7 linked regions of the Oryzias latipes genome follow. The protein of the gene in region 1 purifies or fractionates together with the protein of each later gene. This does not show direct contact. Links are inferred from orthologs where the notes say so. Each region holds a gene or a part of one and is shown in the gene's direction. Other genes may lie near its edges.

What was found.
Region 2: the proteins of srrm1 (region 1) and srsf5 purify together in Homo sapiens (affinity purification with western blotting; 3 studies listed by BioGRID and IntAct, with this or other methods). This does not show direct contact. The link is inferred for Oryzias latipes from reciprocal best matches to the Homo sapiens genes SRRM1 and SRSF5.
Region 3: the proteins of srrm1 (region 1) and serine/arginine-rich splicing factor 3 purify together in Homo sapiens (affinity purification with mass spectrometry; 3 studies listed by BioGRID and IntAct, with this or other methods). This does not show direct contact. The link is inferred for Oryzias latipes from reciprocal best matches to the Homo sapiens genes SRRM1 and SRSF3.
Region 4: the proteins of srrm1 (region 1) and srsf6 purify together in Homo sapiens (affinity purification with western blotting; 3 studies listed by BioGRID and IntAct, with this or other methods). This does not show direct contact. The link is inferred for Oryzias latipes from reciprocal best matches to the Homo sapiens genes SRRM1 and SRSF6.
Region 5: the proteins of srrm1 (region 1) and cdc5l purify together in Homo sapiens (affinity purification with mass spectrometry; 4 studies listed by BioGRID and IntAct, with this or other methods). This does not show direct contact. The link is inferred for Oryzias latipes from reciprocal best matches to the Homo sapiens genes SRRM1 and CDC5L.
Region 6: the proteins of srrm1 (region 1) and RNA-binding protein 25 fractionate together in Homo sapiens (co-fractionation; 3 studies listed by BioGRID, with this or other methods). This does not show direct contact. The link is inferred for Oryzias latipes from reciprocal best matches to the Homo sapiens genes SRRM1 and RBM25.
Region 7: the proteins of srrm1 (region 1) and eif4a3 purify together in Homo sapiens (affinity purification with mass spectrometry; 3 studies listed by BioGRID and IntAct, with this or other methods). This does not show direct contact. The link is inferred for Oryzias latipes from reciprocal best matches to the Homo sapiens genes SRRM1 and EIF4A3.

Annotation. Positions count from the first base shown.
Region 1 is NC_019880.2:16,873,782-16,877,805, forward strand, and holds the start of srrm1 (serine/arginine repetitive matrix protein 1), read left to right. Parts: upstream 1-1,224; 5' UTR 1,225-1,334; coding exon 1,335-1,355; intron 1,356-2,172; coding exon 2,173-2,262; intron 2,263-4,024. UniProt on the Homo sapiens protein: Part of pre- and post-splicing multiprotein mRNP complexes. As a component of the minor spliceosome, involved in the splicing of U12-type introns in pre-mRNAs. Involved in numerous pre-mRNA processing events.
Region 2 is NC_019880.2:1,440,030-1,444,185, forward strand, and holds the start of srsf5 (serine/arginine-rich splicing factor 5), read left to right. Parts: upstream 1-1,356; 5' UTR 1,357-1,469; intron 1,470-2,113; 5' UTR 2,114-2,122; coding exon 2,123-2,168; intron 2,169-2,504; coding exon 2,505-2,635; intron 2,636-2,720; coding exon 2,721-2,791; intron 2,792-3,008; coding exon 3,009-3,113; intron 3,114-3,573; coding exon 3,574-3,643; intron 3,644-4,156. UniProt on the Homo sapiens protein: Plays a role in constitutive splicing and can modulate the selection of alternative splice sites.
Region 3 is NC_019863.2:2,322,580-2,326,540, reverse strand, and holds the start of serine/arginine-rich splicing factor 3, read left to right. Parts: upstream 1-1,161; 5' UTR 1,162-1,181; coding exon 1,182-1,371; intron 1,372-2,038; coding exon 2,039-2,249; intron 2,250-2,383; coding exon 2,384-2,527; intron 2,528-2,999; exon of another isoform or gene 3,000-3,961. UniProt on the Homo sapiens protein: Splicing factor, which binds the consensus motif 5'-C[ACU][AU]C[ACU][AC]C-3' within pre-mRNA and promotes specific exons inclusion during alternative splicing.
Region 4 is NC_019865.2:7,383,803-7,387,997, reverse strand, and holds the start of srsf6 (serine/arginine-rich splicing factor 6), read left to right. Parts: upstream 1-1,395; 5' UTR 1,396-1,480; coding exon 1,481-1,587; intron 1,588-1,924; coding exon 1,925-2,088; intron 2,089-4,195. UniProt on the Homo sapiens protein: Plays a role in constitutive splicing and modulates the selection of alternative splice sites. Plays a role in the alternative splicing of MAPT/Tau exon 10. Binds to alternative exons of TNC pre-mRNA and promotes the expression of alternatively spliced TNC.
Region 5 is NC_019873.2:1,354,714-1,358,967, reverse strand, and holds the start of cdc5l (cell division cycle 5-like protein), read left to right. Parts: upstream 1-1,454; 5' UTR 1,455-1,623; coding exon 1,624-1,668; intron 1,669-3,521; coding exon 3,522-3,625; intron 3,626-3,723; coding exon 3,724-3,885; intron 3,886-3,961; coding exon 3,962-4,089; intron 4,090-4,197; coding exon 4,198-4,254.
Region 6 is NC_019880.2:1,888,585-1,892,817, forward strand, and holds the start of RNA-binding protein 25, read left to right. Parts: upstream 1-1,433; 5' UTR 1,434-1,630; intron 1,631-1,843; 5' UTR 1,844-1,859; coding exon 1,860-1,965; intron 1,966-4,047; coding exon 4,048-4,097; intron 4,098-4,223; coding exon 4,224-4,233. UniProt on the Homo sapiens protein: RNA-binding protein that acts as a regulator of alternative pre-mRNA splicing. Involved in apoptotic cell death through the regulation of the apoptotic factor BCL2L1 isoform expression.
Region 7 is NC_019859.2:158,191-162,458, reverse strand, and holds the start of eif4a3 (eukaryotic initiation factor 4A-III), read left to right. Parts: upstream 1-1,468; 5' UTR 1,469-1,571; coding exon 1,572-1,725; intron 1,726-2,599; coding exon 2,600-2,672; intron 2,673-2,745; coding exon 2,746-2,812; intron 2,813-2,895; coding exon 2,896-2,958; intron 2,959-3,040; coding exon 3,041-3,173; intron 3,174-3,238; coding exon 3,239-3,319; intron 3,320-4,268. UniProt on the Homo sapiens protein: ATP-dependent RNA helicase. Involved in pre-mRNA splicing as component of the spliceosome. Core component of the splicing-dependent multiprotein exon junction complex (EJC) deposited at splice junctions on mRNAs.

The DNA of each region.
Region 1 (4,024 bases):
AAGTGTTGCTTGGAAATTATCTATATGGAGAGAGTAACAAAGATTTATGATAGGACCCAGTTAAGACGTTTTTGTACCACTCCTTTCTGGGTTTTTCCAACCGTACAAGTTGATTTTTATCTCCATATGAAGATGGATGTTAGCAAAGGGAATTGGGATGAAATCACAGCAGACAGGTTGAATACGGTTCATGCTTCACTCATTCCCAGATGGATCTGAAGATTCAGTAACAAAGAGGACAGTTTTTTCTTTCTGTATCCCAAAATTAGGAAAGTATGTCGGAATTAAGCCATCAAAGGATCTTTGCGTTTTTGCTGTTGAAATGTTGGCAATATCATTTAGTTTACGCATGTTAGAGCAGAAAAGAATTGGTGATGGTGTAATGTCTTTGAAATCTTTTTCTTCCGACAGCAGGTCAGATCTAATGTATGAGATTTGAGATTGTGTCGAGACTGGAGAAATGGAATATCGGTATCAGAATTATGTGGGTACCAGCACATGGGGGTGGAATAAAAACTGATTTTCTGGCAAAGCGGGCATTGAAACAGGGTGTGTAGATAGAATTTCCATTGGGAAGAACAGAAGTTAGGACAATTATGAGGAGGTGTGTTATGGAAGACTGGCAGAAACAATGTGAAAGATAGAGGAAAGGACGACATATATTTAATATACAACAAAAGGTAGGGAAAGGTGCATCTTAAGTCAAACACTAGAGATCAAATCATTATATCATGATTGAGGATGGGACACACTGCTTTAAATAATACATTACATTTACTGGGGAAACATCCACACTGGTCTCTGTGATTGTGGGAAAGGGGAAGAATCAGTGGAGCACATTTTGTGTTACTGAGAATTGTATGGGGAAGAAAGAAAGCACGTGGAGGATGGAGTACGGTTGCCGGAGGCAGAGCGGCTGAGTTTGAGGAGGCTTTTGGAAGGGGAGCATAATTTCAATTGAGTTGTTATTGGATTTTTTAAGAGAACTAGACTGTTGAGGACAATGTGTTTTTTTTAATAGACTAGGACCTAGTCTAGGACCAAATCTATTAAGTGGTCTATTAAGTCTATTAGTGTATTAAGTATATTAGTGTACTAAGTCTATTATACTAGTCTATTAAGTCCGACTCACACTCCAACGCAGTAGTTGGCGGTAATGAGCCTTGGCGTTGGTGCCTCCCGCCATTTGAACCACAAGAAGAAGACTGTAAATTGAGTGCAGTACCCATCTTTTCCGGACGAGGCGCTATCTTCATCCGGCTCTCCCTTCAGATTTCACCGAAGCCTTGCAAGTCTTTTTCAACCGCTCCTGAAACGATTCATTTTCCCCGATAATGGACGCGGGATTTTTCCGCGTAAGTGGAGTAAACTTATTTCTGACAGTAGCAACCGTCTTGCTGAATTGTATATTGATCTGATATGTGCCTTAAATGCTACGCATTATTATAGGCAGAGAGGGACATTCGGCTAGATTTGGCACGCTTAGTCAGGGCTTCGTCTATCAACTGGTGCGAAAATAAGCATTGGTTCTCCTTTGAGGTTTTTATTCTAAACTAAGCCGTAGAAACAATTTGCAATGACACACTACATATCGACGCCTTTTTGATCTAATAATGTAATATTATTATGTTGGTGTATTTTAAAACCTGATATTCATCTGCTGTCAAGTTATCAGGAATTAGGCCAGACACAACTAGCAAGCCACAGCTAACTTGTTGGCCTTCTCCGAAGATGGCGCCTAACCGGTGCGTCCCGAAAGAGTCACGGTTGTCATTATATGAACTTTAGCCAACAGTCATTTGGCTTCTTACTGTTTTGTTAAACACATAACGATGTAATTCCGGAATTTTTCTATACCAGAGACGGTAAATGTGTCTCTTTGGTTAGCCACGAGGACTTCAGAGGACAGTTAGCTTAGCAAAAGCTAATTTATGCGTATCAACGATATGACCCAGATTCACGAGCTCAGATTACTACCACAGCGTCGAGCCCCCCTTTTCCACTGTTGTAAACGAATAATTTTGAACGAGGCAAATTTGTGTTTATTAGCCTAAAATGTTTGTTGACTAAACGGTGCTTTAAACGTTTTCTGGACAAGATTCCTACATGCATGGTGTATCATGTATTTTACATTTTGTCTTATTAAAACCTTGCTGGTTCATTATTCCAAAGGGTACAAGTGCGGAGCAAGACAACCGTTTCAGCAACAAGCAGAAGAAACTGCTGAAGCAGCTGAAATTTGCAGAATGTCTGGACAAGAAGGTATTTTTTTGTTATATCAGAATATGATGTGTTTTGATTGTACATTACATATCTTCAAAACTTCTAGTTTTGAAAGTTTGAAAATGGAACTTTTATTTTGGTTGTACTGATAAATCTCAGCTATTCCTGCTGTCTCAACTGGTCTCAAAGGTACATGTCTGCAATAATAATAAAATATATAAAATAACATTGAAATGTTAGAATTTAAAAAGGTTTTTAACTTGGTTAGGTTTTTAATTATTACAAACTTGTTTACTGTTTTAATAAAGTGTCCATGTCACAATAGATGGCCTTCTTGGTTCCACTTGTGATAACTCAGTTGGCTTAGTTTAGCCAATAAGAACCAACTATTGCAAACTTTGACACACCCATGATGAACAGAGTAGTTAACGTTAACTGCTGGTTCACTGGCTGCATGGGAACATTAAAATGTAAAAACAGCCTGCCTGGAGAAAAGTCATGTCTTGACTGGGAGGACATAGTTGGGGAGGGAAATGTTTGGAGCTTGCTCCACCTCTTTTTACTATGATCATGTAATAGCCTGTAAAATGGGCATTAAAGACCCACTCCAAGGAAAATTGTTTTTTAACACGTTCCTGTGGCATTTTTATCATGTTGGAGGACCCATAGAAAGAAAATTCATCTTCAAATGGCATTTCTGGTTCATCGGTTGTGCCGATGGTGTCTCTCCATGGAGATGTCACCATCGTGATGCCACGCCCCCGCCACGCTGCGAGTCGACACCATAAGCCGCGGTTACATGTGCAAAATATCTTGATCGGATCAATGGTCGGATTAGAATTCAACCGTGTACGTGGGCCCAGAAAAACATTTCTGATTACAACAAACGTTCACATGGTCACACTTTCATTTGGAATAAATCCTTCGCACATGCGCAGTAGTGTTTGAAATACCGGAAGAGGAAATGAGTTCCGCTGAGAGGCTACATACATAGATATCCGGCAGCTCGGTAATATACGAGATATCCTCCAAACGTGCTTTTATTAATGTTAGGGTTATTATGAAGCGCCTGTTTGCTCATCATTTTAATTTAAATCTGTGTGGTCAGTGCTTTTTTCTGTTGAAGAACGAAGCTGGAAAAAGCCAGGACTAAGAGAGGCTAACACGCGCTAACAACATTAGCCTTGTTTGATGAACATAAAATCCATGCGGGAAACGCTGCAATCTGCATCTTGGCTGCACGTAAATATGTGGGCATAACATCAGCCTTTACTTTGTCGGGACACGACTGGAAACCCAAATCCACGTGATTGTTTGAACGGTTTCTAAGGACTGAGCGACATTTCTGCTTTGAAAAGCTCACACACCGCCCCAAAGCCGCTATGTGAGCTGATGGTCCGAGCTCTGGACCGGACACACACTTTAGACCCGGTTCTCCTGATTCCGGTAGCTTGTTCACCTAGAACTGTGGGACAGATCGCAGTCCGAAGTCTCCCACACATAGCGCACACGTAACAAAGCATCCTCCCATCAAACACAAAGTCCGTCTCCTCAGAGACACGGTCGCTCGGTCCACTTGACTAATCAAGTGCAGGAGCGGACTACTTATTTTCTATTTTGTTTGTTAAAGTCACTTCCCTCAGTTTATACTGGATCATCGCGGATGAGTCATTAGTTGGGAAATAAAATAAATGAAGTAATAAAGTGAAATAATGAATAATAACTATATAATAATGAAAAATTAAAAATCCCCCGGCGATATCATCGTCCATCCCGATGGTTTACTGCAAACATCGTCAAC
Region 2 (4,156 bases), about 15 Mb from region 1:
ACAAGCATTTCAAGACTGATTGTGATTATAATTAAAGAAATTGACCCGGTTCAGTGTCTTCGCTTTGTTTTTACAATTTAAAATATTCCACCTTTTACATGTTAAAGGCAACTAAATGGTTTGTTTGATCAAAATTACGCAGAATTTCTTAAATCAAAATGTACATCTGGCTTGAAAGATATTTTGTAAAAACACCAGTTAATTTTCCAGTAAATTGTGATTTTGACTCTAGATTTTCATCAAGGACGCAATAAGACTTTTACCGCTCTGCTAATTTCTGTCGTGGATTTGATTCACATCATCAACCAGAAGCCAATTTGACTCTGAAATATACTCAATACTCAATTATGTTTGTGAAAAAAGCAAATTAATCTCCGTAGTGTATATTTAATCTAATCAGACTTCACCGTTATAGGTAAAAAATCTGCCCAGAGCTTCTCTCAGTAATAATTTCAAATGAAGGTTGAGGGTGTGGCAAAGGTGAAGCAAAAAAAAACGGATTTTCTTGTTGACTTTGGCAACTCGTGAATAATGTTGAAGGTTTTATTACCTAACTGCTATTTAGAATAAATTCGAGACATTTTTGCATTGAAGGCAGAGGAACTCCACCTGTTATGGGTTCAACAGCACATAAAGATACTGTGATGACTGAGGCAAGGATGGACTGCAGAGAGGAGGGCTATTTACAGTGCAAGTTAAAGTCCTAAAGGAATGCTGCCTTCACGAGATGACAAAACTCGGAACTTTGTGTTCTGAGTTTTGTTTTTCCATTTTTAAAAGTGAACATTTGAAGTTGATTTACTACCCTTCCTTCATCCGAAATTAGGGTGCCTTCCACAAATAAACAAAAGGATTAAAGCTCTAAAATCAAAGTCTTTTTTTTTTATATTTTCTATCTAGTATAATAAAGTAAACGTACGTCTTTTTCCAAATACATGTTCAAAATCTACCTAAATATTTTCAAAGTAAATGTTTTAATTTATTTATTTATAAAATTTTAGCTAAAAAGACACAGAATATACGGCTGAAAAGTACATTGTGATGACTGTTTTAAAGTTATAGTTAGTAATTCCGAGGAACAGCAAATGCAACATGATTTACAGCTTTGCGCAGATCTGGGTTGCCAGATACGTTAAAACGTTTTTCAACTAATCCACAAAAAAACACGTATTTGATTAAGCATGTGTCTTATTTTTTCTTCTAAAAAGTTCATAATTTAATAAAATAATGTATCAGCCAGTTGTTTTACATTCTATATTAACAAAAACAAAAGTTTCACTTGAGGGATACAATTACACCACTGAGCCATTGTCTGGCAACCCCGTTGCTGCTCAAAACAGCAACGGGGTTTCCTATTTCCTGCTCCAAAAGCTCAGTCGCCATTTTCTCTCAGTCAGAGCTTGACCTACTTTTAGTTGCTGCTAAAAAACAAACCGAGTAAAGACGCACCCACGACAAAGCAACCATTGGTAAGCAAATATAACAAAATATAAGAGATAGATTTACGGATTACTGTGTTTTGTTGGAAGTTATTTGAGGTTTTAATGCTAAATGGCGTCGGCTAAACCAACGACCTCGAGGCAACAGACGTACGTTGACGCAGGATCTAAAACCCCTACAAATATTTCGAGATAAATGAATAAATTCGACGATAGAAATTAGTTTTCGACAATAGAAATGGGTTATTACAGCGCGTAGTTGTTCATATATTGTCATTTGTCGAGTTAAATGTTTAGTGTTGAAGGACTGCGCCACATAATGGTTTTTGTTGGCTGGTGAAGGACAGCGCGCGATCACTAGGCCCCAAAAAAAAAAAGTTTATGTAAAGCGAAAATCTAAGCTTTCCACAGAATGATCGATCCTTAAAAAGTGCTTTGGAAGATTAAACAATAGAAATATATTTATATATTTTGGTCTTTTTTTTTTTTTACTTCGTGTGTCTCGAGACTTTTTAGTTTCGTGTTTTGTCGTTTTTCTCCGCGTTAAAGACCCACTTCTTTAAAATTTGTGATTTTAACATGTTCTTTTGGTAATTTTACAATAATGGAGAGCATGTATTTAAAAAAAAATAATATAAGCTTTCTTTATTCAAATGGTTGTGAACCGGGAGCAGACGAAAAAGATGGCGTCTGAAAAAGCCCGTAGCAGTGACGTAGGTGCTACAGACGGTGGGTCCCATTCTGATGCCTCCCCCTGTAGACAAATGGATCCATGTACGTCTTTGTTTAGCTCATCTCTGCAGGGATCAGCCGGATATTGCACACCATTGTTGTTGCACTAGCAATGTTAAGGGTTGTGAAGGGCTGTAAGCTAGTGGGAGAGGATGTAAACAGATGGTCTACAATAAAAATGTCCTAGAAAACGGCACAGGTTTCCTGATATTTGGCTAAAAGTGGCATAATCATAATTAAAAGACCATTGGGGACACTTTGTAAATGGATCAAAAGATGTTAGGAGCTTCAGATGGAAGCAGAGTGTTTAAATCTTCACCCTTTTTTCTACAGATACCATGAGTGGAAGTCGCGTCTTCATCGGCCGCTTGAGCCCTCAGGCCCGAGAGAGAGACGTGGAGAAGTTCTTTAAGGGTTACGGAAGAATCCGGGAGATCAACCTGAAGAACGGATTTGGCTTTGTGGTTCGTATGGCGGCTTCGGTAGAAACTTTTTCCTGCTTTCCTTCCTCAGATCTTCTAAAAGTGTTTATTTTTTTTCTCCCCCTAGGAATTTGATGACCACAGAGATGCAGATGATGCAGTTTATGAACTAAATGGCAAAGAGCTGTTGAGTGAAAGGTAAGGTTCTGTTTCTGAGAAGCAAAGAGTTTTCCCCCGGAGGCTTGCGTAAAGGTTGCTATAGCAATACTTTCAAAATGCTAGCAAGTACTTCCCTCTTTCAGTAATTTTATGAAGAAAAGATAAAACTCTATCGATCCTCATGAACACATGAAGGAACATTAGGGTCATAATATCGACTAAAAGCTCATTGTGGTGTTTGCCTGCTCTTCGTCAGGGTTACTATTGAACATGCTCGCTCCAGGAGAGGAAGAGGGGGCGGACCCCCGGGTATGGCACGTTTTGGTGGGGGTTATCGACAGTCCCGCAACACTGGATCCAGGTATGTCAGGTTCAAAAAGCTCTGATTTAAAAAAGAAAAAAACTACTTGTGTGTGAGCACAGTAAACATTACAGTATAGAAAGTATTTCTGGAAGAAAAGTCAAGCAGTTTTGAAGACTTTGTGGCTTTGAGAAACAAATTTGGAAACATTTGTTTTTAGGTTGGGACCTGTTTTCCATTGAAGTCCTTAAAGGAGGTCATCAATGTGAGATAGACTCCGTCTCCTGTTTTTAGTGTTTTTAACATGTTCTTGTGGCATTTTTCTGGTGATGGAGGACGTATTGAAACTAAGTCAAACCTAAAAGTTGCATTTCTGAGTTTTTCTTTGTTCAAATCGTTGAGAATCAGGAGCAGACAAAAACAGACCGTTTTGAAAAAGGTGTTTTTGTGACAGTGTGGGGCTTCAGACACTCAGAAAACCCCACTAATATCTGTGGTCCCTTTCACTGATGTTTCACAGGTACGGCCCACCTGTGCGGACAGAACACAGGCTCATTGTTGAGAATCTGTCCTCCCGGATCAGCTGGCAGGTAAGAGAAGCAACATAGTCTCTAACTAAATTCAGATTTTTTTTAGATTAGAATAACTATCAAACATGTAGCTGGCATTGTTAAATTGGTAAAATATCAGTAGTCAGTCTTCACCTCAGTTGGTCATTCTAACCACAACTGTTAAAATGTGTTTTGTAACAGCTACTGTATCAGCTGCCTTTGTATCAAAGGTAAACACCCTCCTGTGGGGTGTCACAAGTGTGTAGCGCCCTCTGCTGGCTGTTGTACTCAATAGTTTTCATTTGGTGCCTCTCCTTACACGCAGTTGCTGCTGGTCTAAAGTCTTGGCTGGGCCCCCTAGCGGGTGAAAGTGGTCTAGCGCAGGATTCAGTAGCCTTAGGAGGTCCGTAGCCACAGGCTGGAGGTTCTGTGGGCTGGCGACTGCTGTAAACCCCCTCAAATCCACGGTCCCCTACACTCCCATTTGGGTCTTTGTCTGTGGCTGATGGAGCTGGGGGGGCGGTGTTGAGTCGGGCACACACTCCACCCCCT
Region 3 (3,961 bases), on another chromosome or scaffold:
CACAGCAGGACGACACCAGGAACCAGCAGAATACCACATTATTTATAGTCTTTAAAAGAACATTGGACAGATTTGGAGTCACGTTGGAAATGACATTAGTCATAAAACTGGAAAAACAATCACATTTTCAGAAAAACAAACCATTTTGGGCTGTTATGACAACATGAAGCAGAACTTTATTTTTATAACACAATTTATTTTGTTTTTGAGAAATTTCATATATATAAAAGGAAATGGTCAAACTCTAAACTTGATTTTGAACACTTTTTGAATGAAATAATTAAATATAGTGAAAGTATCAAACAAATAAAAAAGAAAAAAGAAATTTCAACAAATGTAATATTTCAAAAGGTAATTTTTTTAATAAACTCTGCAGCTCATTGTTATTTTTTTGTTTTGCTTTTGTGATGTTCCGTACATTGTGCATTCCTTTCTTTTTTTCTTTCCTTATTGTTGACATTCATGCTTTTGTTGTTGTTTATGACTAAAACTTCAAAAACTGTTTTTTTTCTTTTTTACTTCTTTAAGATCCATTTATAGACTAAAGTACTGAATTGCGACATTTTTTCATCTGCTCCTGGTTCACAACGATTTGAATGAAGAAATACTTAGAAATGCAGTTTTAGGCCTAATTTTCTTCATAAATGTCCTCCAACATGAGAAAAATGCCACAAGAACATTTAAAAACACTAACAACACAATTCTCATCGCTGTTGGTCTTTAACTGCCACCTGTTCTCAGCTGCATTTGATTAGTTTTATGCAAAAGTTTACATCCACATTACTTTACATTCAGCTCTATTAATCTTTTTTTACTTATTGATCACTCCTTTAATACCTTTTTATGTTTCCTTTAATGTTTTATGTAAAGCCCTTTGTATTGTCTTTTTTTTAAATGTTCTCTACAAATAAACTTGACTTGTGTATAACCACTATTTAAGTATAAAAGGAAATTTTTAAAAAAAATCAACAATTTGTAATTATTTGTATAAATGAAAACAGCTGCAAATATTTTTTCTCCATGTATCTTTTGGAGAATTTGATACAACCAACAAACCCGGAAATGAACAGTCAGCGTAAATTGGCTGCTGTGAAACAGGCCTCTGCTGTGGCTAAACCGGTTTAAAATGTGCTGAAGTGATCTTCTCGGCGTTGTCCCGGGGAACACCGAACTGGCTTTTGATGTCGACGCTCGCGAGCGCGCACAGAGAAGCCCCGCCCCTCGCGGTGCAGCATCCTGGTCACTTTTTACAGTCGAACGTATTCTCCGTCACGCCATTTTCCACCGTCGGCTGGAGGCAGTGCATCGGCGAGACGGGTGCACGTGAAAAAGAGTTCTTCTCAGCGGTGAATTCCTTCGGCTCCGGTACAGGTAGTGCAGACATTCACGGACCTTCAGCGCCGTAGACACGTGCTTTAGCGCTAAAGGAAGCAGCCGCGTGCGCCATTGTCTGATCACGTCGTGTGTTGAACCCGCCGCCGCCGCAGGAGGAGAAGGCCGCGGAGTATCGACAGCCATTTTAGCTGCTTTTATTCACCCGTTTTCTCCGTTAGTGAAGTCTGTGTGTTTAAAAAAAAAGTCAAACTACAAAACTGAAATAGAGTTGCTAAGTGTGAGCTTAAAGCTACCGGTTATGGCTAACTTTACACGATCGTGTGGCTAAAGTTAGCATTTTATGCTAACTTTGGTAGAAATGTGGATCAGTTTTCTAAATGATGATCGCGTGTAGTGGAAACTCGATGCGTATTTAGACCCAGCCCACCAAAGTAAGAACATTTGTAACTATATTTATCGAAATCTTCGTTTGTTTATTGTGGCTCATTGAAAAACAGGTATTTGGAGCATCATTATCATCGGTGGCAGAGCAGAGGCGGATCTCCGGCCGTACTGTTAGTTTGGTCTGTCCTGGTTCATCCACGAAACCGATCAGTCGACTACAGTAGAATTGCTTGATTTGAAACCAGAAATGTAATCTATCATCTTCTTATATTTTTAGCTGATCCTTGTGTTTATAACCCCGTGGTTTTGATTATTCCAGATTCCATCATGCACCGTGACTGTCCCCTGGACTGTAAGGTCTACGTTGGAAATTTGGGCAACAATGGGAACAAAACCGAGTTGGAGCGCGCCTTTGGCTACTACGGACCTCTTCGTAGCGTCTGGGTGGCCAGGAACCCCCCAGGTTTCGCCTTCGTAGAGTTTGAAGATCCCAGAGATGCAACGGATGCGGTGCGAGAACTGGATGGAAGGTACGTCCCTCCCTGTGTGATTTTTGTAGGTACGGCCCGCAAAATCCTCCCAAACGGGTTTGTCTGGCCACCAGCAATTCCACAGAAATCAGCGTTTGGTATGAAATGAATGACAGGCGTGAATGTTGTCGCAGGACACTGTGCGGCTGCCGGGTGCGCGTGGAGCTGTCTAACGGGGAGAAGCGCAGCCGCAGTCGCGGCGCTCCTCCATCGTGGAGCAGGCGGCCGCGGGAACGGGACGACTACAGGCGGCGTAGCAGCCCGCCACCCAGGAGAAGGTAACCCAGGGGTTCTTTGATGGAAGGGATTTCTTAGCTTTATATCCTCTTATGTGATTTACTTTACAGTACATTTCCTGAGAACTGCTTTTGGGTTTCCAGTCTGGGTTGTTGTGTTGTTAATTTATCTTTTCTTTCTTTCTTTTTTGGTGACTGTTGACCTGTCTGCGCTTACTTTGTGCAACAAGGAAAACACACAAAATATTCAAATATTTGTCAAAAGTACATTGTGTAGAATGGGACTTTGGCTTTTAACAGCCAGAGTCCTTTTGTGTGTGTTTCGTGTGCACACCCAAATCTTTGTTTAGGAGTTTGACAGTGACAAGAGGTCATAAATAAAGTTTTTAGTTTGGAAAAAGAAGTAAATTTGTATAAAGTTTGGGGCGGGCGGTGTGAGGGGTAAAACTGCCAAATGTCTTTATATTTTTTTTTTACTTTTCATCTATATTAATAAGAATGAAACCCATTGCAGAACCACCACCATGCCTCTTCTCACCACCCTCAGTCAACTAGTCCTCTTTCAGCATCACGCGACTGCTGACCGTCGTGTCCCAATCAGCTTGGCTGGTGCTGTCACATGACCCAGGCTTGGCCAGTCGTCAGGTTGCACCAGCCCATTGGTTCCTCAGCATGCCGTTCTCAACCTCCTGCTCCTTCAGCCTTAAACCAAAGGGCAGCCACCCACTTCACATTCCCGACCAATCAGCGTAAAATGTTCCCAAATGTCTACAACCCACCAGCAGCAGCCGTCAGCTTACCAATTAAAGCAGGAAAAAAGCCACAACCAGCCCCCATCTGCCTGCCATCTAATCACCTTGCAGCATCTGTCCACTCCTATTCCGCCAATTCTACCTACGCGGCCGGCAGTCTGCCTTCCTTTCGTCATATCTAGCTTGTTGAAATCCAAAAAAACTAGTAAGTTTCCCTGCTTCATTCAGTACACTGCTGATTTCAGTTTTGAAAGTGAAGAGACAGCTGGTTTGAAGAGACTTTTATTGTTTAAACTCTAGCTTTGTCATCCACCATGTGAGTCTTTGTTTCAATGGGAGTGATCAGATAGATGGAGCCTGCTGTCAGAGGAGCTTGATGGTGCTGATGTTAGGGGATCTGGGCACATCGTAGGTCACAGCAGTCACAACTCTGTTAGCTGGAAAAAGGCTAGCTTCAGGTAAACGGGTCAGTGGGGGGGTTGATTAGTCAAACACAGAGCAGTTTACAACATTTGTTTCTTTTTTTTTTAGCACAAGAAAAATTTGCAGCCTGTTTCAGTAATTTTTTAAGCTATCTTCACACCGAATGGGATTCACACGTCGAAGGCGTCCAGTTTTGTGCTGACACGATCTGAGGTTCGGCAGCGGCGCCTCGGGCGGTGCATCCAGACTTCAAATGTCTAAACGTTGGCGTTGAATTCGTTAACCACCCAGGGACTTGCCT
Region 4 (4,195 bases), on another chromosome or scaffold:
ATATTTTTTTCTAAGAAAACATAACATAGTCACTAAAATTTTAAAAATGATTTTTTTTGTTTAGAATTTATAATATACTTCTTCATAACACAGTGCAGGATAAAGAAACGGGCTGCACGGTGGCACTCTTGCCTCCCCCCCTGCTTGGGGACCTGACACAGAACAATGGGGGACCTTTCTCTGTGGAGTTTGCATGTTCAATCTGTGCATGTGTGGGTTCTCTCCAGGGTCTCCGGCTTCCTCCCACCATCCAAAAACATGCTCCATAGGTCAGTTGGGAACTCTAACACTCTCTGTCCCTGAGAGTGAATGGGTGTGTGATTGTGGCTCTGCAATACTGGCGATCGGTCCAGGGTGTCCCTTGCCTTGCTCTGGCAGCCCCGTGACCCCAAGATAAAACACCAGAAGATGAACGAATGAATAATAAAGATACAAATTGGTATTACTCTGATATAAAATATGAGAAATTACTCAATGGATCTTTACAACTCTGGTTAAAGGCGGCAAAAGAGAAAACTGTAAATGGCTTTGGACCTCAAGAAAAATAATACAATTTACCAAGGGTTAAGGTTTATTTGTGATTTACTTGTATTGTGTAAACTACATTTATGAATGATAGTGAAAGCTTTAAAGATCTTTATATATGATAGGTTTTTCCCCTGAATATTTGAAGCTACATTTCTCAGTAAATCTTGTATAATATTATACTTAATTATTTTTTGTCGCATAAATAGCTTATCAGTTGTTTTTGTGCACCAAGGTTGGTTAAAAATCGGATATTTGCTTCCTTTTAGCAACTCTCGTAGTAAACCTAATAATGAGGACCAATGTTTTGTTAATGTAAAGGCAGCCTATAAATATGTGAAATGCAGAGCTAGAACACAAAATTTGACACAAACACATCTAAATAATACTACTACTAATAAAAATCTACATCAATCAGATGACTAAAGAACTGGGGGAAATAAGATAGTTCCAGATTGTTTCTACTAGTTTTTGGAAAAGTTAAATACTTTTAATTGGCGGCTATTGGTTTGCAGGTGAAAAACGTATATGTTTGGACAACATAACATTGATTGTACATGAGAACAGTCAATGCTCCATAATTAATAAACCATCAAGCCCCGTTGAATTTATTGTGCAATCTTCGGAACACAAGATAATAGATTTTAATGTGTGTATGTATTTTCTATGTGAAATTTTACAACACCCTGATTATATGTCATTGTGTGACCGTGTTCTTTCAATAAACTCTTTGTTTACTGCTCTGTTCTTAACCAAAAAATAATAATGATGAAAAAGAAATTACAAAAAAGGACAGGAAGTAAGAACTGCAGTACAGGAACCGGAAATAGCTTATCTTGTCGTTGATTGGCTGTTTCTGGAACTTAGTGAACGCCCACCACAGAAGAAGCTAGCTACAGTAGCGTGTAGCTATTTGGTGGAACAGTCGAGAACAAGTTCAGTAAAAAAAAAAAAGATGCCTCGTGTTTACATAGGTCGTTTAAGCTATCATGTTCGTGAAAAAGATATTCAACGATTTTTTAGCGGATACGGTAAATTACTGGAAGTCGATATGAAAAATGGGTAAGTTCTAGAGATAAAATCGCACATGTTTGGCTAACGCTAAGACACCTGGGCATGTCTACGGCGTAGCTGCAGACATGAGGTGAACGCGTTTGAACTGTGCGCGTACATATTCAGTCACCGTTACATATCGCTTAAGGATTCCTGTCAGTGTTAAAATAAATACCGGATTGAGGGTAAAACGTCCATTTTCTCTGATTTCTTTTTAGATTCTCATATGTCAAACATGGCGTCGTTATTTGCTACATTTGCTAAGCTAACGTCGGCTAATTGAATTTATCCTCACTCAAATAATGTTCTTATTAGTGAAATGAAATTGTGATTCTTCTTTCCACAGCTATGGCTTCGTTGAGTTCGAGGATAACAGGGATGCTGACGATGCTGTGTACGAGCTGAACGGGAAGGAGCTGTGTGGGGAGCGGGTGATTGTCGAGCATGCCCGGGGACCGCGGCGAGACCGAGACGGCTACGGTGGGGGTTCCTCCTGGGGTGGTGGGCGCAGTAAGTGCAGTTATTTAAAGATACCACGTCTCTTCTTCTCCTCCATCAGTGAGGTTACAATGTGAGCTGCTCAGGTGATTGATAATGTAATAAAGCCCTTTTAACAGTGTTACAGTTTTTTTGCTCGTTAATTGGGTTATTGTTTGTATCTTTTTCTGTAGCAAAAAAAACTCATTTATTTTTGTACCACCTCAACTACTTGCGTATTAAATCAGTTATGCTTTATTACAGGGTTCCTTGTTTCTTTCTGAATCTTTTAGCTTGCAGATCTAACATTAAAACAACCTTAACTTTGTTTCTCCAAATCTACTACCTTGCTTAGTTTTTCACTTATATACCTGCTAAAGGTTTTTTTTAATCAACTGAGCACATCTAATCTAAGATAATCAAAGTAGGTACGACACGAATGTCTAGAAAATAACCAAGGTGGTAGATCCTGAGGACCAAGGTTGAAGGCTACTGCCCAAGAGGTGTTACCCTTCCCCTATTTGTGTTTAGGTTCGTCCTTATGGTGTTCAAGCTACATTGAATCAACATATGTCTACTCAGTTCAACCTGATTTAAATCGTATTGTAGAATAGAATATCTTTATTTATATAGCACTTTTCCCAGAAAGAATCTCAAAGTGCTTTACAGCAGAAGCATCAAATCAAAACACAAAAGTAATAAAATAATAAAACAAAACACTGTAAACATAGTAAAATAAGTTCTAAAATCAACTAAAAGCTCTCCTGATTAAAAACGTCTTGACCTGAGATTTAAAACACTCTACGGAGCCCCTCTGATGCAACAACGATGGGAGTTCCAAAGATGAAGAGCAACGGCTTGAAATGAGAGATCTCATCTAGTTTTAAAGCAGGTTTAAGGTCAGATGTTTAAGGTCAGATATTTTAAAAGGTCAGATATGTACTTCTGAGCTTGACCATGCAAAGCTCTAAAAACTAAAAGTAATTTTTTTAATTTTTAAATCAAAAGTAGATGAATGCTAAAGGAGCAATTTATTAATAGAATCCAGTTGAAGATAATGTATTGTATTTTGGTAAACTGTGAGCATACCTGTAGGAACCCTGTTTTAAATCAGGCGTTAGTGCTTTCTCAAATCTTATCTTCACTCTGATGGACTGCACTCGTCTTTTCTTTGATAATTTGATAATTTCCATTGTGTCAGTTTATTGTGAACCGTTTTCTCCCTGATCAAAACTTTGCACGGAGTCAAATCTTCATTTCAATGAGGAATAAACTGCTATTCTGAACTCAGGGCACTTTTAAGAGTAATGCTATGTATCCAAGTAAAAGTAAAAAAAAAAGTTGTGGAGTTCTTTAAAATGTTTTGATTAATGATGTTAAATTGTAAAATTAGTTTGATTAGAAATGTTTACACACAAATGACTGCAAACGTAGCTAGTGTAGTCTTTGCTGGTCTTTTTCTTTTTTTTTTAGGACTTCACTAACATTTTTATGAAATGTGTTTGTTAACCTTGGCATATATATATTTTTTTATATATTAAACATTAACAGAAGTCCTTGATGTTTCAATTTGAAAGAGTCCTGTTGCGGGCTGAGGCTGAGAGTCCATTGAGGCTAAAGATGACTGGCTAAGATGACTGCCTGTCCCGTTTGGCCTTGGCTTTCACCTTACAATGTGTGTGTGACCTTTGCCCCCCTCTTGATCCTTGGCTGACCTAACCGGAAGCCATGATGACAGCAACCTTTTGCCAATAGACCAGGGGTGATGGTGAGGATTGCCATTGGTTTCTATGTTGTCAGAAAACATGACTGGATCAGCTTTTTTTTTTTTTTTTAGGAAAATCAAAAAAACAATTTTGTAAGTATAAGCCTGAAAGGAAAGAAAAAAAGCATTTCAGACTTTTCCAAACTGTCCAAAAACAGTAAATGCTTTTTGTTTGGTCAATTTGATGGACCAGTCTCTTTAACAGAAACCTGTATGGATGCCTCATTTTTGTGTTAGTAGGTGCAGAGGTTAAGAAGTTAGAATGGCTTTGTTACTGGATACCAAAACAGATACAGTGGTGTTCTTGTAACTTCTGTATTTTTACAATTCAAACTTTAGAGCTCCAAAATGGCTTATTTGAACTTTCGACTTTGA
Region 5 (4,254 bases), on another chromosome or scaffold:
AAAACCTGCCTGTTTATTCTGATATCAAACATTAAAGCAGAAAAGGAAACTAGTTATATCCACCAGATCCAACTATTTGATCCATTCATTGATTTATCATGAGTACTGGTACCAGTCTGGTCACTTGGTACCAAGCAGCAGAGAGAAAAAATACATACTTGGCAGTGTTTTTATTTTATTTTTTATCTGATTATGAAGGACGTTTTATTTTGTAAAACTCTGCTTTGCTGATTTATTCTACATTTTTTTTCACACGTTCTTGACATTTTTATTACATGTCCTCTTTTTTCATTTAAAAGGTGATTAAACTAATTAAATTTCATGTTTAGTGTTTGGATCTGACATAAAGCCGCTCTGAAAAAAATGCATGAAAACTCACCAAAACTTGCAGACCGCCAGTACCTGGTAAAAATGAAGTCGATGACAGCATGGCAAGCGAAACCATAAAAAAAATAATAATAAAAAATTAATGAGCCGAAAATCGCTAATGGAGGCACAAAAACAGTCAAAATACACTAAGGAAACCATACAACACATGTCGGGGATATCCAAAGGACGTTTTGAAATTATTGTGGGCCACACAACCCACTGCTTGGCAGCTGGTTTGTGGCAAAATTGTGGCAATTTTCATGTTTTTCCACAATATGAGAAAAGTCGACCTTTAGCCTCGGGAAGAGGTCTTTGAAAAAAACCTGTAGTAGCAGCTACACACGAAAACTACAAGGTATTTTCGTCGATCATCTAACTTCTCGGTCGTCATTGGCAAGCTCCTGTGCAAAGAATTTTGCAACTAGAAGCTCGCTAATTTTTATGGGAATGTCACAAAAATTGAAAAATAGGGCCCCCTTCTACACACAACCCCCCACTTCTTTCACACCTCCGACCCCCCTAACTGATTGGGGAAATACAATGAGAAATAATGAATTGATAAATGAATAGGGCAAATATTTCCTAAGAATCATCGCATTTACCAATCAGGGACTCAGCTTTGGGTATGTGCCGTTTTCAGTGAAACAATCAGCGGGTAGAGAACACATCCAATGCCAGCGCTTCTGTTTTGAACTTCCATCTATTTTGTTGACCTGCTGGGGTCACGGGGTTGCCGGAGCCCATCCCGGTTCCTGTTGGGCGAAGGCAGGACATTATTTAGAGGTTTTATAATTGCACCATTACAAAGTATGTAGTATTCGGTTTATGTATGGAACACTTTTAAAATAAATAACATTGTAATGATTACATCTTTTTAAATTAGATTTCCGTTTTGTCATTTTATCTGGTAAGAAACACATTTTTGGGGACATTTGACTCATTTTTCTCAGCTTTGTTGTTGCTACTAATAGCAAAAGGGTAGGAGGGTTAAGATTTACCCAAAGTAATTATTTTTCCTGCTTCCTAAAATAACATATATACATATGAGACAGTCATGGTATAAGACTACGTTACCCACAGTGCCTTTCGGTGACTACTTGTAAGAATACAGTTTCCGGTGTATCCGTGCATGTCGTTTCTCCTTCGTAGTGTTGCTAGTTTTTAGGGAGAACTGGAAAATCTGCTAGACTGAATAGCGGGTGTTAAAGCAATATTTAATTTTGTTGACGGAGAATTCAAAAACAAGCCATCAAGATGCCTCGTATTATGATAAAAGGAGGGGTTTGGCGTAACACTGAGGTAAGTGTTTACATGGCTAACTGTTAGCATGCTCCTAGGCTAATCCTAAACCAATGGCGGGAGGTTAGCATAAAGCTAAAGGCCGTACTCTCCACAGCACGTTTATGTACACGCTCTTTTGTCCGCGAATTTAACTTTTGATATCGATGTTTTTAGTTGGAAAAGGTGATGAAGGTGGTGAAAGTGCAACATTTGCAGCCGTCTTCCTCTATGCTAGTCCTGAACGTCCGCTGCCTTCTTCACGGGGAGGAGACTTGCTGCTGCTGCTCGCTCTGCAGCCGGGAAACTTTAGGCAGATCAGCATCCATGTCTTTTTTATTTAATTTTTATTTTTATTTATTTATATACACAGTGATGAAAGTCTTCCGGGAATTCCCGGAAATCCGGGTTTTTGAGCAAACCGAACGTACTTTCCGGGAAATAAAGACCTGATCTTTACGGACAAATCGCTTTCCGGATGAAAAAATGGTCTGAAATCGGCGAATTTTAGCTTTATTTTCTATATTTCTCCGCGGATCGCTTCCTATATGGTCGCGGCCATCTCTCGTCTTCCCGGCCTAATTGACCAATGACGGGACGTTTTAGTTGCTTTCGGATGCGTCGACGGGTCTGATTGGCTCTGTCTGCACCACGTGGTCAGCGTGACTTGCTTCCCTAGAGACCAAAACTGGCTGACCCACGCTAAACTTTCACAAACAAATCTAAAGAGTTTGCGATCAAATTTGTGTTAAAATAATGGCAGGCATCGTCATTATTGAGCGTGGTCACGACCTCAGTTGTGAGAAGACGATAAAAAACAAATTGAAGTGGTCTTGGCTGGAAGAAAAATATTTTTAAGGTAGTGTAGGTCAAATACTTTTTTGTGTAAAATAATCTCAAAACCAAATTCAGAAATAATTTCAGTTTTAGTTTTGAGTTTCAGTTTTTATTTTGAATACATTTCTCTATCTAATTTATTTGTATTTCCTAATTACCATGATTTAGTTCAGTATAGTTGACATTAATTATAAGTATTTGATGGTTTGGACCCGCACTCCCTTAAAAAATAATGTTTACAATATTTAATTTAGTTTGTATGTTTGTTTTGATATTTCCCAGATTACTTAGTATTGGTGTTAAAGAATTGATGTATTATGTTATAGAATTATAGTTTAAAGCAGATCCCATATTTTGATGTAATTATAGTTTGAGAAAACAGTGCAAGTGAATGTTGTACATCAGTCATTTCTAAAGCAGAAATAATGTATAAATAACTGAGGTATTTTCATAGAATATCATAGTTACTGGTGTTCTTTTTGCCATTTGGGGCTTTGATGTTACTATATTTTAGCAATTGTATCTTTTGCAGATTTTAGGAAAAGCTTAGATTGTAGGATTGTTATACTTTGAGCAATGATCCAAATTCTTTTTTAGGACCAGGAAGTCCTTAATGTTAAGTCAAACTAGGGGTTTGAATGACAAATGATGATGCTCCAATTAGTCTTAGTTTCTTGATTAAGAAGTGAATAACGAGCTGCCAGAATGCACCAGAATGCATCTAAGACTATGTATTTTTCAAAAATTTCTCTCTGCGCCGCCATATCGCTCAAAGAAAAGTTCAGGGATTTTTTCCTTGCCTGACTTTCATCACTGTATACAAAAGAACACGGGCAGTTAATGGCAACTAATATTAGGAGATAATGTAATGTATTTATGGCCTGCAGGATGGATCTGGGTGGGCAGGGCTCACCTGTTAAATGTAGACAGTATAAGGCGCGTGATTCATTGATTCATAAAATGACAACTGCTAACCAAAGCAGTAAGTCGTTTGTTGTTTAGTGAAGTCTTTGTTGATTATTTGTTTGTTTGTTCAGGATGAGATCCTCAAGGCGGCGGTAATGAAATATGGGAAAAACCAGTGGTCCCGCATCGCCTCCCTGCTGCACCGCAAGTCTGCCAAACAGTGCAAAGCCAGATGGTGAGTTTGATGCCGAAACACATCTTCCATTTTCATAATGGTGGCAGCTTTATAGGCAGATGAACGGATGGATTTTGTTTTACCCTGCATGTCTGCAGGTACGAGTGGTTGGACCCCAGCATTAAGAAAACGGAGTGGTCCAGAGAGGAGGAGGAGAAGCTGCTTCATCTGGCCAAGCTGATGCCGACGCAGTGGAGGACCATCGCTCCCATCATAGGACGTACTGCTGCCCAGTGTCTGGAGCACTACGAGTACCTGCTGTAAGTCTGACTTTCTTCTGGAATGACCATAACCAGGTGGTGGAGTGTGTGTGAAGGGGGTGGGCTTTCTGTTTAGAGACAAAGCTGCACAGAGAGACAATGAGGAAGAGGTGGGAGATGATCCGAGGAAGTTGAAACCAGGAGAGATCGACCCAAATCCTGAGACCAAACCTGCCAGACCGGACCCCGTGGACATGGACGAAGGTACAGAATCTCTACAGCTCTGCAGCTACAGTGAAAACTGCCCTCTCATTCTTTGTGGAACTTTGTGAAGTCTGCCTTTAAGGAGCAGCTGTGCTTCTGTGTTTGCAGACGAGCTGGAGATGCTGTCTGAAGCCAGGGCTCGCCTGGCCAACACACAGGGCAAGA
Region 6 (4,233 bases), about 15 Mb from region 1:
ACCAACATACACACAAACACTTACACACACACCACCTCACACCCACTTAAAAACAGACACACACTTGAACACACTCACGAAACCTCAAACACACACACAGAAGCAAATACACACTCAAGTTCACGCACAGAAACACACAAACTCACGCACACTCAGGGATACAGTCAAACCTATCAACAAACTTGCATAACCTCGCACAAAAAAACAAACGCATGCGCTCAAATACTCACACACTACACTCACACACAAAGACACAAACACACACATGGGGTTGAATCACAAACTTAGTTTACTGTATTTGTGTCATTCCTGTAGCTGCTGGCAGAACAGAGTCTGAAAACATATTAAAGCACTGATTGTGTAACACTCATCAAAGACAAAAATACAAAATAAATTACTTTAAAAATAGGTTTTAGTGTTTGTGTTGAATTATTCCTCATAATTCTAGCTGCTGAAAACCGTAGAATGTCAATAAAATGACATTTCTAGAATACAGAAGAAAGTGGATTTGAGCAACAACTGTTTCGCTGCTGAGCTCATGTTAGACTGACGCAGCTGCAAACAGTAACGGCGATGGACGTTCACATCTTGCTCCAGGACACAGGTTCGAAATCAATTTCCAAAGGCCAAAGTGTGGATTTTGGCGCCACCGAGCGGCGGAAAATATGAACTGCTGAGATTTTTTTTCTTATCTGCACCATCGTATTTTTCCCTGGATCTCTTCTGTAAGGCAAACCAGAGTTCGCTCTCATTTCTAACGTCTTGGTGGTGTGTAGTGGGCAGCACAATCACTACAATGAAAGGTTCAAATCCCAGCTGGATTTTTTTTCTGTGTAGTTTCCTGTACTTGAGGGTTTTTTCCGACCTTTTTAGTCCAAAAAACATGGTCAGAGTTTTTGTTGTTGTTGGTTTAGTACTGCAGCATTTGCCAAGGTCCAGCTTTTTGTTATCCATCTGACCGACAAATTTGTCAATGACAATAAAGGCGGACCAGAGTAGCTACCTTGTGGAACTCCAAACTAAGCCATTTTTTTTTCAATTTCTCCTGTATGCTCCCCCAGTGAGCCAGCTTGAGTTATCATTCTATCCAGACATTTATTTAAAAAAAATGGCTAATTTAATTACGGAGCTTTTTTCTAGTATTTCTAGTATTTAAAGATCCTAAATTGCTTTTTCAGTTATAATTTTGGAAAATCTTTTATTTCTACATGAATTATCCTTTTATTTCACATACTCTCAGTTTGAATTAGAATGAAGTCTCTATTAAAGGACATTGACATAACTATGTTTGTATTTTTTGTTAAATGAAAAATTAAATAAAACAAATCCAACAGAATTAAGGCAAATTTGACGATTTTAAAGTGTTTGATGCAGGAGCTGCTGCCTGTAAGACCTCACTCAGGGTATTAAGAAAAAAACAACCCGAGCTGAACCCAGATGTCCCATAATCCTTTTCGGAAAGAATAGCTCCGTTAGCCTCGAACCACGGGAGCTCCCGCAGTGAACCGGTGTCTAATTTAGCCTGCTAATTCTCCCGGAATCGGTCCTTTTGCTGCATTTAATGGGTTTTTTACGAGGATAATCAGCCGTGTTAGCCGTGTCCTCTTTTTAACGGAATACTTGACTGAAGGTGGGTGAGCGCGTTCTTCATGACCGCCGATGCTAACGTCTAGCAGCAAGGCCGGACTTAGCCGTCTGAGGCTAGCAGTTTACAAGCTAGCTAGTCTTTTAATCTCATCGATTTGTCAGTTTATTCTGTCAGTTTGAGCTGGTCGCTGTGACGGTGACCAGTGGAAGAAGCTCCACTCCTTCCCGCTAACCTCCTCTTGTCTCGGTCTTGCAGGCGGTCTCCTCCAGGAATGTCTTACCCGCCTCCGATGAACCGGCCGCAGGTCGGCCTCCCCCAGCTTCCCCCAGGGATCCCCCCGCCGCAGTACGGAGGCTTCGCCCCTCCAGTTCCACCAGGTACCGAGAACCGCCGCACACCTGTGACCCCCCCCCCCCCCCCAGCTTGTGTTGGATCTGGAGTCAAGCATCGCGTTGGGAAGCACTGCAGTTCACCACGTGATTTGACGGGGAGATGAATGAAATTCGATAATTGGTAGATTTAGATGAACTTGAATAAAAATCCACACCGTTTTTTGTGGTGGTAGCCGTCATAAATGCTTTATTCATGCTGGGATTTCAGTTTTGACAGGAGCCTCAGATCTGTAGACATGCGCATTTGCCCCCCTGCCTGTAGGCATCCATATTATAAGCAATGTTGTTCACCTGATTCCAGGTGAAAAAATCAGGTAAGAATGGAGGCTAATTTGGGAAAAAGGAAATCCATTCAAATCCATTGATGTTGAAATTCCTCACGGGAGGCTAAACTACTAAACATTGAAGTAGAAGCTCACCGTTAACCTTTAGAGACCCCCTCCCATCAAACTGGTGTTTTTAACATGTTGTAGCATTTTTCTGACATATTTAAAGAAACTTAAACTCATGATTGCATTTCTGAGTATTTCTCTATTCAAATTATTGTGAATTAGGAACAGATTAAAAAATGCTCTTTGCAAAGGTGATGTAGAAAATACGCTGGGCGGAGCCACAAGCTCCATATTTACAGGTGTAGGTTGATATTGCTCGCCATTTTTGTTGCACCGCCCGTGTTAGCATGGGGTTGTGAGGCGCTGTAAGCTAGCAGGAGAGCTTGTAAACAGATGGGTGGCGGGAAGTGTGTGGGGGGTGAATTTCTATTGAACTCCTGTCGCTCTGCAGAAACTATGTCCTAGCAATGACACAACTAAAAGATTTCTTTTATTTTGAAGTTGAAGACTCTTCTTCGGTTTCCTCTCTGGATCTTTTCCTCCGTTTGTTTTTTATTAACTTTGCTGTCTTCGGGCATTAAATTTAGGATTGGAGGCTTTAAGAAAGTACCAAATGTATTTGACACGTGACCGAGGAGAACGTCTTGATATGCAGTAAAGCATAAAGGGATGTGGTGCACAGAATCCTATAGTTTTCCAAAATAAAACTTCCTTCAGAATGAATAAATCCTCCAAACAGAAATAAATTAATAGTAATAACTGTAATAACTTTCTGTAAGTTTTTTGGTTTTGTTTTCTGTGTCTGTTGTCCCGTACCAAGTGACCCACAGGTTTAGAAGCTGCTGGGTTTTTTAAATTCTTTCCATTTTTATTTGTATTTTCTGAACCAGTAGAAGTGTAATCATTCATTTTAATGCTGCATTTCATATCACAATTTGTGGCTGACGATATGTTTATATTCAATATTTGTTCATTCTGAACGCTCCGGTTCACTGAGCTAAAGTAGATCCAGATCCTCTTCATCCAAACTTCCAGACAGAAATTCCTGCTACTGAACAGTTTTCCAGATTCTTGGATTTCTTCCAGATCATCAAGTGGAAATGAAATCTGTGTCCAAACAAACAAGTAAACTAGAATGAATGTCAAATCCATTCACATGTTAGTTTCCTAAATTTCACCACTGTTGTTTTTCCACATCCAAAGAATCCAAAGGGAACATTCTTAGAACATTCTAGCACATTAGACATGTTGTTAATGACAACATGTCATTAACATTCCGTGTTAATGACATCACAAATGTGTTGTCCGCTGTGATTGGTCGATTAAACCTTCTAGTAAAATAAACCGGCTGTACCTCAATCCAAATAGTATTTGATCTCATTTTGAAACCATTTTATAACAGTGTGGGCCAATTCCATTAACTCTGTCTGGTTGGAATCATAAATCAATTCACGGATTCATCGTTAAAGTCCAGTTGTGTTTGAGGCTCACCGTGGATCACTGTCTTCATGAGGACTGGATTCCCATAGTTTGAGGGGAAACAGGTTTCTGTCTGCCTCTGTCTCCTCTGAAGGGCCTCTTTGTCTTAGATGTGTGAGCGTCCGCTCCACCCTGTTGGCTTTACACTCACAGCTTGGAACTGAGGGAACTTTCTGGGTGAAACAGTCCTAGAAGTTAGGATTCAGTGTGGATGAAAGCAAAATCTACACCAACCTTTTCCCTCTGCTGTTTCCAGGTACTCCCATGATCCCAGTTCACATGGGCGTAGTGGCCCCCGCGCCCACAGTGAGTCTGAAACCAGAGTTTTTACCACATTAACCCGCAGCTCCTCCGTGTGACCCGCCGTCACCGCCGTCTTTATGGCATCCACAGTTGATGCGTTCGTCTCTAAACCTTGCATTGCTGTCGCAGGTTCTGGTTC
Region 7 (4,268 bases), on another chromosome or scaffold:
GAGGTTCAATAATCATTCACTCTGTGGTCATAAACGACACGGGACAACAGGTCCGCCATTTAGTGGATCCGCTCACCAATTCTTTATTCTTCTTCTTCTACTCTCCCAAATTTAACTTGCCACGCCCCCTGGTCTCTAGGGTAACCCGGGAGGGACACACCTCTCCCAAAATAAAAGATCCAGGAAGTTGGTTACATACGTCCACCCTTTCAAAAGAAATGTCCTCATTTCTACAATTTCTACAGGAAATGCAACAGGCCGGGGAGTGCAAAAAAATAAATAAAATAAATGAATTAAGAAATAAACATTCGAGACCCAATATGGCGTCAACAAAAGTCAACCAAACAGGAACAACATGAGTTTACAGAACCCACCGGCAAATTTCCCACCACAGGAGGGAGAGGAAAAAAAAAAATCTGAATAATAATACAACATTGCCTGCCAACCAACAGCATATTATTCAACAGAATCTTTCAAGGAAGGAAAACACAACAACATATGACAGTCTCCTCACAACACCAACAAAAATTTCACTGTGACATAACTCTGTATTGTTACATCCTAATAAAGTCCTGATAACGTGTTGGAGCACGCACCATTCTGCCACTGCGGGAGTGTGCAGGGGCTGTCCCAAACGCGTCCCTCTGACCCTGTTGGGGTGGATCACCATTATCTGGGGGGTCCAATGAAGTACCCGCCGAAGGAGAGGATGATGGCGGGGTGGACATACTGTCGTTTGGGGAACCAGCAGGCAGGGGAAGAGTGTAACGTTTTAACCTGTCATGATGAACAACCTGGGCCCGCTCAGACATATCCAGGGGGTTGACAATGCGATATGTCAAAGCGGCCTCTGCACCTGAAGCCAGAACCCGATCCACACGATAGGGACCTTTCCAGTGCGGTGCTAGTTTTGTGCGGCCCTCTGTTGGGTTATTAAGCCAGACCAGAGCACCCTCTGTAAAGCCCTTGTGGTGAGAGTTCTCATCATGGTACAGTTTCTGTTTCTCCTGCGCCTCTGCTGCATTAACCCTCGCTGCACTGAAAGCAATCTCCAGCCGCTCCACAAGAGACGACGCGTATAAAGGCAGCGTGGCTGCACTGCCAATGCCACCAACCCCACTAGGAATGAGAACCTCTGCCGGGGTCCGGGCTTCGCGCCCGTGCATAAGATAAAAGGGAGTAAACCGTGTGCTGGTGTGCTTGGAGATGTTGTAAGCAAAAGCAACAGATTTCAAATGGTCATCCCATTCCCCCCCCATGGGACAACAACATCTTGGCCAGCTGGTCAATTAGGGTAACCCGGGAGGGACACACCTCTCCCAAAATAAAAGATCCAGGAAGTTGGTTACATCTGTTTTAATTGTGGTTTGACACTTTATACAGCTGCCACAATATTGTAAACCTCAAATGTTTTTTCCAAACGAAAAACAATTGCTCTTCCGCCTGATAAACCTGGTCGCCTGCTGATGACGTAAGCAGAGCGACACGTGGAGCGCTGTTAGTAGCTAGCAAAGCGGTTACCCCCCTTTTGCGGAGACTACCGATTCGTTTTGAAGACAGACACGACCGTCATGGCCGCTGCTGGGACACCGGGCAGGAGAAGACTCCTGAAGGAGGAGGACATGACCAAGGTGGAGTTTGAAACCAGTGAAGAGGTGGATGTCACCCCTACCTTCGACACCATGGGGCTCCGTGAGGACCTGCTCCGGGGAATCTACGCCTACGGTAGGCCGGTGGATTCGAGAGGCCTCCGCCTCCAGATGCTAAGCCTAAATCCGCTGTGTGGTTCAGTTCACCTTAAAAAAGGAATGAAAACGTAGTTGGTATCAGACTACATCCCGTAATAACTTACATTAAAGCGGGTAGATTGGTGTGACCTGATCATTTTGTCGTTGGCGGGAAGAAAAACTTCATCTTTTTAGCCTTCATGCTAGCATGCTAAGGCCGCGTGCGGCCGCGCTGACATGAAATTAGTTTAAATTCGTGTTGATTATTTACTAAACGAAAACCAGATACTAAAATTTGCGGGTTTCGTTCAGTAATGCCTGGACACGATCTTTGTTGGTATTGTTGCTCGTAACAGTCATGATCCAGGAGTTAGACGGTTCCCATCCTATATGGCTTCGTATATGTAGCGAATATTTTACTAATTTCCCCCAGAACTATTAATAAATATATGTCAACACTTCTGTCTTAATGTGTATTTTAATTTTGTTTCTGTTCATGTGTTCTGTCTTCTCCAGACGGCAGAACATTTTATGAACATATTATCTGGACCCAAAAGGACGGGAGAAATCCCAATAGACAGAATCGATCAGATTTGTATCTACAGTAATATTGAAGTGTTGCACTGATAAAGATGAATTCTCTACATTTTCCTGGACTATTGTGCTTGAGAGGATCCTTCTTTACCCCTAAAACCCAGTTTCTCCATAGAAATCCTTTCTGTGGGACTAAAACTTTTCTTTCTGGTCAGCATCACCAGAACTTCCCACTTTGGTCCCCCTCAGTTTGAGCAGCATGGGAACTTCTCAGATGAGGTTTCTCTATGTGGAAATGAAGATGGACAGCACCTGACCAGGTTCTGGTTCTGTTACAGGTTTCGAGAAGCCTTCAGCCATTCAGCAGAGAGCCATCAAGCAGATCATCAAAGGCAGAGATGTCATCGCTCAGTAAGTCTGGGCTGGAAAACATGCAGGTGCTCTGGTCCTCCATGCTGTAACGTGTGATCTGTGCTGCATTCAGGTCCCAGTCTGGAACAGGAAAGACGGCCACTTTCTGTATTTCCGTCCTGCAGTGTCTGGACATCCAGGTGAGTTCTTGCTGTTCTTGTGTCCCGTGACAGACGGGCCAGAACCCGTTTGCAGCTCGGTGGTGATGCTGTTCCTTCTGCAGGTCAGGGAGACCCAGGCTCTAATTCTTGCTCCAACCAGAGAGCTGGCCGGACAGATTCAGAAGGTAGCCCCGCCTCCACCGCCATGTTCAGCCAAAGGCTTGTAAGGTAGAGGCGGCGGTGCCAGTCACGGTGTCCTGTGTGCAGGTGCTGCTGGCTCTGGGAGACTACATGAACGTTCAGTGTCACGCCTGCATCGGAGGAACCAACGTGGGCGAGGACATTCGCAAGCTGGACTACGGCCAGCACGTGGTAGCTGGCACCCCTGGACGGGTTTTTGGTGGGTTCAATGGGTTTTATGGCAAAAGTGGCACAAACGGGAATGCTGACGGCGTCTCTTTACAGACATGATTCGGCGCCGCAGTCTCAGGACCAGAGCTATCAAGATGCTGGTGTTGGATGAAGCTGATGAGATGCTGAACAAAGGTGAGGTCCTCTGCTGTTCAGCGTCTTCTGTACCTGCAAAGCAGCTCTGTCTGAGCTGAAAGCTCACCTGCTGGTCATCAGAATAACTCTGGCACCTTTGGTTACGTCTGAAATGTGTTGAAGGAGCAGGAAGGGTTGGTCCTTCCAGGTTGGAACCACCTGTTCCAGACACACTTGAAGGTCACCTTTCCTTTCAGTGGTCGTGTTTTCGGCTTAATGTGTCAGATTTGAAAAGTCCATTTGACGCCATCGGGCCGCGATGTCACCACTTCCTGTTTAGGACGTTTAAAGCAACACTTCAGTGAATTTTAACGGTGACATGGAGATGTTCTAAGTGAAGGTTAGGAAGAACCTTCAGCAGAATCTTCAGCAGAACCGCTAGCAGGGTCAGAACTTTAAATTCATGTCTGTAGTGTTGCTAGTGTCACTGCAGAGAATGGTTTCAGATTTCTGCTTTAACATTCCAGATTCGTGGGGGAGCAGAGCTTTTGGGGGGTGGGGGTGGTGGTCTCTGTAGCGCATGGGGAGGTCTTCATCTCACCACCACACATCTTTGCTTGGCTGTTGGTGTTTTTGCTCTTCGTCGCCATCAGATCTTTTTCATTCTAGAATCCTGGACGGATTTTTCTACGAAGGCTTGAACTTTAAGAGAAAAGTCTGGAAATGTTGACAGCTAGCTTGTGGATTTCACCTGTGGCCGGTTATTTTAGAAGGCAACTCCCGCGATGGGAATGCTGTAGTTGAGTTCCGGCGTGACTGCACTTCCTGAATGACCCTGGTCAGTCAAAGCCGCCGTCATGGCTGAAGTTCTGGCAGACCGTCCTAAACTACGAGCTCTCTGAGAGGTTTGGGGCCGGCCTCAGAGACGGAGATGCTTCTGGGTCTCAGGGACCAAAAATCAGGAGCAGCCTTTCTCCGGTTTGGAGCACCTGACATCTCTGAGACTTCA